Linked DNA regions of Coturnix japonica. The protein of the gene in region 1 purifies or fractionates together with the protein of each later gene. This does not show direct contact. Links are inferred from orthologs where the notes say so. Each region holds a gene or a part of one and is shown on either strand. Other genes may lie near its edges.

Region 1 (4,256 bases):
CCCTGGCAGAGCAGCAGGGCTGGAACTGCTCTCAAATGAATGGGACAGAGCAGAAAGGAAAGTCACATTGCTGCCTGCCGCCTGGGGAGCTGTGAGATGCAGCCTTGACCTCAAATAGTTTCTATCTGCGGGCAGAGAGGAGGGAAGAGGATGCCGTCATCGAGTGTTGGAGCACTGCAGAGCAAGCAATGCTGTGTTAAACTGATAAAACCTGGCACCCACGTTGCTGCAGGGCTGCACATACTGTGAGTGCAGATGAAAACTCACTGGCTTGGAAGTAAAAGGGTGTTAGAAGTGCCTCTTTGGAAGATGGCTGCAGGGTGACAGCTGTACCATCTTCTTCAGTGCGTGGGCTTGGAATGTGAAAGATATTTCTGGAGAGCTGAACCTTACCAATAGAGCTGGCTCCAACAGCCAACAACGCTGGGTGAGATCCGACAAGCAATGGAGATGGGAAACTCAAACAGCCTCGTGTCGTGTCCTTGTGAACCCATCACTCCACAGTGACCTCCCGTCTGCTGTGGGGTGATGGTCATAAACCCAATGATGGGAGTCCATCCAGGAGAACGTGGCAGAAGTTTGGGTGTGGAATGGCACCAGAGCTCAGCTGTTCATGCCAGGAATCAAAACAGCGCACACGTTCTGGTTGAACAGCAGCAGTGATGTCTGCTGTAAGGCCTGGAGCACCTGCAGGGATGGGGCTCCCACTGCCCTGGGCAGCAGCGCAGCACATCACCGCCCTCTGGGTAAAGACTTCCCTCCTGGTAGCTCATCCAGACCTCCTCTCTTTGAGTTCAGACCCACAACCAGCCCCCTCCTGTCACCACACTCAGCCCGTCCCCAATCCCTGCGGGTGTGCGACCACCCTGCCCAGCGCTGCCATCCCCCCCTCCCACATCTCAGCTCATGTTTTCCCCTCGGCTGTCCCGAGCTCTGCAGCACGGCTCAGTGACTCCATGAACGTTGTGCAGAGCTGGACGCCCGTTGCTATAATTTGAGTTGTTTGCATCCCTTAATCTGTGTTTGTTCCCTCGGAAGTGCAGGGAGACACACGAGGGCAGAGGCTCTGGGTAAACACGGCGCTGCTCTCCCTGCACACCATTAGCTCCGGGTAAACAGAGCAACTGCCAGCGGTGGGACGGGCAATGGGGTGAAGGAAGGGAAGGGAAGGGAAGGCCAGCCGGCCAAGGCCCACGAATGGCGGCCTGCAGCGCTGCCTGGGGCGCGTCATGGGCGGGATCACCGTGCTGCTATAAGTACGGCTCACCTGGGCACCCAGCACAGCCGGGCTGAGCTGCACCACGTGGCACTCGGTGCTGGCGGGCGACGTGCGGGGAGACAGCAGAGCAAAGCAAAGCAAAGCAAAGCAGAGCAAAGCAAAGCAAAGCAAAGCAAAGCAAAGCAAAGCAAAGCAGAGCAAAGCAGAGCAGAGCAGAGCAGAGCAGAGCAGAGCGGAGCAGAGCAGAGCGGAGCGGAGCAGAGCAAAGCAAAGCAGAGCAGCGTGTTCCGTGCAGGCTGTGCTGCCGGCTGGATGCCGGCGTGGTGCTGCGGGTCGGGTGCTGCGGCACATGTCTGAGGGCTCCAGCGGTGTGACAGCGCTGGGCGATGGCACAGGCCCAGCTGGGGCTGGCTGCCCCCTTCACGCAGCCCCCGGCCGGGCCAGGACCTGACTCTGACTTTGACTCTGACTCTGAGGATGCGGCTGTGGGTGGTGCTGGGCCTGGCACCGCACGGCAGAGCCCGTCGCAGGTGATCCACAGCGGGCACTTCATGGTGTCATCCCCACACCACGACGCACCGCCCCACCGGCGGCACCGCCGTGCAGAGCCCTCAGCGGCCGATCCACGGAGCATTGACCCGACCCTGACGTGGCTCTTCGAGTGCATGAGCCTGGAGTACAGGTGAGTCCAGGGGCAACGCGCTGCTCCCAGCTCTCTGTGAGGCCCACCTGTATGGGTGTATGGCCGTGCTGCTAATTGCCCCGCTGCTAATTGCTATGTGCAAACTGACGGATGGCATCCCCATCTTCTGTTGGGCTGCGGTGTGATATCTGCTCACAAAACATCCTAGGAGGTTCATGGGGAAGGAGCTGGTGCTGGTGCAGCTCTGATGGAGCCAGCTGAGAATTCCTTCCTGTCCTGGAGCATCTTTCCCACTCTCCTCCAGCAGAGCCGTCATCACCGCCTGCAGCACTCGGCCTTCGGCCATTGGTGGCAGCAGGCACCTGCCTCCTGTGTATTAGTGCCCGGGCCGTGACTGCATCCCCCCTTTCACCAGGGCCCGAAGGCTCTTTGCATTCTCTGCACCTCACAGCAGAACCTGGCACAGCTTTCCCAAAACTTCCCCTGAAATCCTGGGGCAGCATCTCCTCTTGTTTGTAAGAACAGACCCAAGGAAAGCAGGCGGGAAGTTCTGCCTTTCTCCTGGTCCCGTACTGGGTCTCATTCAGTTGCTGGCCTCCCTCTGCCATGGAGCACAGTGAGGTCACTCTCAGGTGCTGGTGCAACCAGAGCTGTGCAGGAATGGGGTGGGCTTCAGCACTGGGTGACACAGCCCATGGTCACGTTCCTCGTCACCAGGCTGACAGCCAAGGTGTCACCAGCTGAGTAACCCTGGTGCCATGCATGGGTGGCACTGATGGACAGGGCAGCCCCACTTCCCTTTGCAGTCCCAGCCCCACACTTGTCCCACTTGCTGCACGGGGCTGGAGCTGCCCGCAATTCGTTCATGTGCCCCTGAGCTCCAGAGCTGCCGGGCAGAAAGGAGAGGGGCAAGTGGCTGGGAGGCAGAGTGGACAGGAGCTGTATGACACCCACACCTTATGCTGCAGATATGGCTCCCTCCCTTCAGGTGTCTTCTGTGCAGCAGCCCCAGGGCCATCACTGTGACAAACCGTAGCTGAAGTTGAATGGCAGCCCTTGGCAAGGAGGATCCACAACAGCTACGAAGTGTTAATGGCACCCCTGTCGGCCACCCAGAGCCTGAAACATCAGCAGTGTCTCCTAGCTGCCTTGTTCAGCACCCGTGGGAGCAGCTCTTGGTTGGCCCTGGATTCAGGGTAGCTGTGGGTAATGGAATCCAGCTGGGGACATTTTGCCATTAGACTGTACCCAAATTCTCCCCTTGGTTCTTCTCTTTCATGGATGCCTTTCTGTCCCTCCATGCTGCCCCTCTCCATCTCACAGACATCACATTCTGCAGCTTTCCAGGACCCTAAAAAGAGAGTCACTCCAATCAGAGCTCAGGTTCAGCCTCCTATGGAGGCTCAGGACTGAGAAATGGTCACTTTTCAGCCCTCTTGGGGCCGGCGCTTCCCCTCCTGCCACAGAACAAGGAAGGGCTCTGCTGCTGTGCACTGCTCCTGCGAGGGAAAGCCAGGGGGGCTCACGTTGGCAAGGAGGACCATCCCTTCGCCTTCTCCCCCTGCTACAGCCCATTTCCTTCGCACAGCCCTGCATCTCTCCAGCTCATTCCTTGCCCCTCCTCTTGGTGCTGACATGGAGCAAAACACTAATTTTACTGCACAGTGAGGGCTGCAACGCTTGAACTTCTGGGCACGTTGAAGGCATCATGGAGCAGACGGGGGCTGCTGGCTGCAGTGCCAGGATGGGTTCAGGCTGAGCTGTGTGTCCCACAGCCAGCAGTGGGGTTTGTGATCCCACCCCTGCAGGGCAGCGGGACACCTGCCCTGTGCCAGAGTGCTGCTGCATCCCAGTCCTCAGTGCAGTTCACATCCATCTCCTCTGGACAGAATTTCAGTAAAGGGTGGGGCTTCCTTCAAGGCGAACCAGTGTGCAAAGATCAGCCTGATAAGCTCCAAAACTGAAAGGATCATTAATGGGAAGAAAGCAGGTTGCGGCGCAGTTCAGAGGCATCTCCCTCCCAGCCCCAGGTGCAGTGTCACACTGCAGCCCCACCAGCCCCATGCAGGGCCACGCACCCTGCTGCAGTTCGGGGCCAGGGCTGTGGGCTCAGGCTGCTCCTTTAAGCCAGTGGGCAGCGTGGGCAGCACCAGGGAGGAGTGTGGCTGGTAGCCTTGACCAGCAGGAGCGGGCCACGTGCTGGGGAAGGCCGTCATTTCCATTGGCTCCTCTGCCTGGCAACGCCACGCTGTTTGTTTTGTGCCATGGGGAAAGTTCAAAATCCCTGCTGATAGTGGAATGGCCAGTGCAGAGACGGGGCCTTAACCCTCTGCAGGCCACAGTGGTGGGGACAGGGTCCTTCCTGGCCTGGGGGCACAGAACGTCTCTCCCGGT
Region 2 (4,028 bases), on another chromosome or scaffold:
AATCTTGAACAAAGACGGGACGATCAACAGGAAGATCCTCGGGGCAAAAGTGTTTGGAAACCAGGTACGAGCAGCACAGGGAATGTCAATATTTAACCTCATGAGCAGAGAACTCTGTGCTGGCGCTTTGATTTCCAGCCCTTTGAGCTGATGCCACGTCCCTGTGCAGTAGCACACAGTAAATCAGCGGCTGTGCAGGATCCACATCCAGGCAGCAGCTGCTGTTGCTCCTCCAGCTGTGGCCCCCTCGTGGACCAACCTCTGGGAGGACCCTGACTCCGCTGCGGTTCCTTTCCAGGAGCGGCTGAAGAACCTCACAGACATCGTGTGGCCGGAGATCGCGCGGATGGTCAGGGAGCAGATCAGGGAGGCAGGAGCTCAAGGTACCGGGTGGCTCTGATTGTAGTGGGCGCTGCCGGCGCTGCCTGTGTCCGCCCGGTGACCAGGAACGGCCTCGTTCCGTAGGAAAAGCCGTGATGGTGCTGGATGCCGCCGTGCTGCTGGAGGCCGGATGGCAGGAGATGGTGCACGAGGTGTGGGCGGCCATCATCCCCGAGGACGAGGTGGGTGACTCCCCTCGGCCGCCCCGTGATCCCCGTGACCCCCCGTGACCCCCGTGATCCCCGTGACCCCCGTGATCGCCGTGATCCCCGTGATCGCCGTGACCCCCGTGATCGCCGTGACCCCCCGTCCCGTGCTGGTCCCGCAGGCGCTGAAACGCATCGTGAGCCGGGACGGGCTGAGCGAGGAGGCGGCGCGTGACCGGCTGCGGAGTCAGATGAGCGACGGGCAGCGGGTGCGGGAGGCGCATGTTGTGCTGAGCACCGCGTGGGAGCCCGACGTCACCCACAAACAGGTGAGAACGGGCCGCTGTAACGGGCCGGTGTAACGGCGCCGAGCCCCGCACGAAGCTGCTGACGGTGCCCGTTGTCAGGTGGAGAAGGCGTGGGAGCTGCTGCAGCGCCGCATCCACCGCGCGGCCACCGCAACGAGCAGCTGAACCGCAACGGGACCGAGAGGAGCCGGGACCGGGAGCGAACGGAGCGAACGGAGCGAACGGAGCCGCACAACGCGCCGGGACGGACCGGAAGCGCCGCGGCCCCGACCGGGCGGGTACGGCCCGTGCTCGGCACGGCGGGCGCTGCCGGTTCCGCGCCGTGATCCCGCAGCCGAGCGGCGGTTAAAGGGCGGTCGCAGTTTCCCGGTGTCCGTGCTGTTTGTGTCCCGTTGGTCCCGTTGTTCCCGTTGTTCCCGTTGTCCCCACGTGGCGCCCCCTCGCGGTCGGGAGGGCGGCGCTTCCCGGCGTCCCCCGCGGCTCCCACGTGACCGGGGCGGGGGAAGATGGCGGAGCCGCCCGGTGCCGCGGCGGAGGAAGCGTGGGGGAAGGTAACGGGGCGGCGGTCGGACCGTGGGGCCGAGGCCCGGAGCGCCACCATCCGCCCCGTGACCGCCGCCCTCCGCCCGCAGGTGGACGCCGCGTACGGGGACAATGTCCCGGAGCCCGGTAGGTGCCGGGGGGGGCGGTTCGATGGCGGGTGGCGGATGGGGCGGCTCCGCTGAGCGGCTCCCGCTGTCCCGCAGCGCTCGGTACGGACAGGAAGGGCAGCGTCGTGTCCCGCGCCAACAGCATCGGATCCACCAGCGCCTCGTCCGTGCCCAACACCGGTACGAACGGGGGCACCGGGCTGGAGCGGGGCGGGCGCGGGGCAACCGGGGACGGCGGCGTCCGGGGGGGCCCGTCCCGACCCGCGCTCAGCGCCGCTGTGTCCGCAGACGACGAGGACAGCGATTACCCGCAGGAGTTTTACAAGGAGTCCTACAAGGACCAGCGGCGCCGGGCGCACACGCAGGCGGAGCAGAAGCGGCGCGATGCCATCAAGGTCGGTGGGCGCCGCGCCGCGTTCCAGCCCCTCGTCCCGTGCTGGATCCGCTCCATGAGCCGCGTGTGGCTGGAGCCGCTTTGGCCGCGTGGTGGGAGCTGGGCTGTGGGTCCGTGTAACCGCTGCCGTTTGTGCCTGTTCTGCTCCCTCTGCCCCTGCAGAAAGGCTACGACGACCTGCAGGCCATCGTGCCCACCTGCCAGCAGCAGGACTTCGCCATCGGCTCCCAGAAGCTGAGCAAGGCCGTCATCCTGCAGAAGAGTGAGTGTGTGCAGGAGGCAGCAGGGCACGATCCGACCCTCAGGCACCTCAATGTGGTGATTGTGTGTGATGGTGCCTCGGGGACCGACCTCAGGGAGGTCAGAGGGGCCCCATGTGCTGCTTACTCTGTGTTTTTGTGTTCAGCCATTGATTACATTCAGTTCCTGCACAAGGAAAAGAAGAAGCAAGAAGAGGAAGTTTCTACTCTCAGGAAAGACGTGATGGCCTTGAAGATAATGAAAGTGTAAGTAAGAAGTTATTTGGTTGCTGCCCCCTTCTTCCTGCTGTTTTTCCCCATGTCCCTGCAAAGCTCCCCCGATGTGCTCAGTGCTCTGTGTGCAGTCTGGCACCTGGGGTCGTACCAAATTGCCTCCAGTTCTGAAGCTGTTTTCAGTGTCCAGTTACTGGCAGCAGCTTCTGCCCCCGCTGTCGCCCAGCTGCTGTGCAGTACGAGGCTTCGATAGCACTGAGCCCCAAACTTGGTGTTTCAGGAACTATGAGCAGATCGTAAAAGCTCACCAGGACAACCCGAGTGAGGGGAAGGACCAGGTCTCTGACCAGGTGAAATTCAACGTTTTCCAAGGCATTATGGATTCCCTCTTTGAGTCCTTTAATGCCTCCATCTCAGTCACGAGTTTTCAAGAGCTGTCAGCATGTGTCTTCAGCTGGATTGAGGAGCACTGTAAGCCCCATGTGAGTACAGCAGACACAGGGGGGTTGATATAAGAGCAGAGGCTGTTGTGTATGGCTGCACCTGTCTGGAGTGTAGGCCTGTGTGCAGCTTTTCTTTCGCCTGGGCCTTCAGAAAGGCAGAATGTGGCTGACACTGGACCTGGGGCATGGGAGCTTGGGTTCCTCTCATTTCCCAGCTGCTTGGCAGTGAAATTCAGACACTGAAAAACAGAGCTTACAAAGAGGGTGCTTGTTCCCCAGCACTTTGTTCCATAAGACACTTAGAAGTTAGGAGGGAAGAGAATGAGCTGCATGGGCAGGGCCAGGTCCTTGTTGTGCTGTGGCTGCCTGGAGCCCTGCAGCCTGAGAACACAGACAGGCGATCGTTTCCCATACAGGTGCTGAGATCTGTGGCACCAGGTGCTGTCTGTAGCATTGAGCATGGGAAAGGCTTTTCCTCCCCTGAACAACTGACTGTGTCTCCTCTCTGCCCCAGACCCTACGGGACATTGTCATCGGGGTCCTGCACCAGGTGAAGAGTCAGCTGTACTGAGCATCCCTCGCTGGAGCACCTCCCGACCGGGTGACAGCTGCCAGGAGAGGCTGGACCATCTCCCTTGTGCTGGTCCTTAAAGCTTCTTCGATTATTTATTGTCACTACAAAACCAAACCAAAGCTGTGCAAACAGGTACTGTCACAGTCAACGTTACCAAATACTGCTAAGGACTTAGTGAAGGGAAAGAAATAAGTGTGTATTGAATATAGATCTTTTAAGTTGCCAGTGTCTTTAGCTCAGGCAGGTGGTTGCAGTTGGGTTTATCTGTGCCACTGATTTCAGGGCTGCAGCTCAGCAGGTGAATCTGCTCTGTAACCTCACACCTGATATAAACCCTATTGAACCTGGGAGCAGGGAGAAATAGGAGAGTGCTAAAAGCTGTTGCTGTGCTAATGCAGCTCAGGAATAGGGTTATTCTGCAGCTGCAGGTTTTCAATACCTCCCTCTGAAGCAGCTCTTAGAAAAGCAAGAGTCTGCTTTTAATTTCTGTAGCTGCTTTGGAGAAGGCCCGGGAGAACTGAGGGCAGGTTTATTAGCATGTCACTGCCAGGGCAATGCTCATTACATGGAGCAGCAAGCGAGCTCTGTGCTGAAGGAGTGCCCTGGGGCCTCGCTGTGCTGACTCTTCAGTAACACCCCTGAATGGGAAAGGAGTGAAC

What was found. Proteins that work in one complex are often made in the same cells at the same time.
Region 2: the proteins of MLXIPL (region 1) and MLX purify together in Homo sapiens (affinity purification with western blotting; 3 studies listed by BioGRID and IntAct, counting the BioPlex papers as one, with this or other methods). This does not show direct contact. The link is inferred for Coturnix japonica from reciprocal best matches to the Homo sapiens genes MLXIPL and MLX.

The regions. Positions count from the first base shown.
Region 1 is NC_029534.1:140,770-145,025, reverse strand, and holds the start of MLXIPL (carbohydrate-responsive element-binding protein), read left to right. Parts: upstream 1-1,448; 5' UTR 1,449-1,605; coding exon 1,606-1,901; intron 1,902-4,256. UniProt on the Homo sapiens protein: Binds DNA as a heterodimer with MLX/TCFL4 and activates transcription. Binds to the canonical E box sequence 5'-CACGTG-3'. Plays a role in transcriptional activation of glycolytic target genes. Involved in glucose-responsive gene regulation.
Region 2 is NC_029542.1:4,577,948-4,581,975, forward strand, and holds the start of MLX (max-like protein X), read left to right. Parts: upstream 1-1,225; 5' UTR 1,226-1,341; coding exon 1,342-1,386; intron 1,387-1,467; coding exon 1,468-1,504; intron 1,505-1,581; coding exon 1,582-1,665; intron 1,666-1,773; coding exon 1,774-1,880; intron 1,881-2,041; coding exon 2,042-2,141; intron 2,142-2,285; coding exon 2,286-2,385; intron 2,386-2,632; coding exon 2,633-2,834; intron 2,835-3,309; coding exon 3,310-3,366; 3' UTR 3,367-4,028. Other genes in the region: bifunctional coenzyme A synthase-like, read left to right, coding at 1-64, 299-383, 466-563, 710-856, 912-1,184. UniProt on the Homo sapiens protein: Transcription regulator. Forms a sequence-specific DNA-binding protein complex with MAD1, MAD4, MNT, WBSCR14 and MLXIP which recognizes the core sequence 5'-CACGTG-3'. The TCFL4-MAD1, TCFL4-MAD4, TCFL4-WBSCR14 complexes are transcriptional repressors.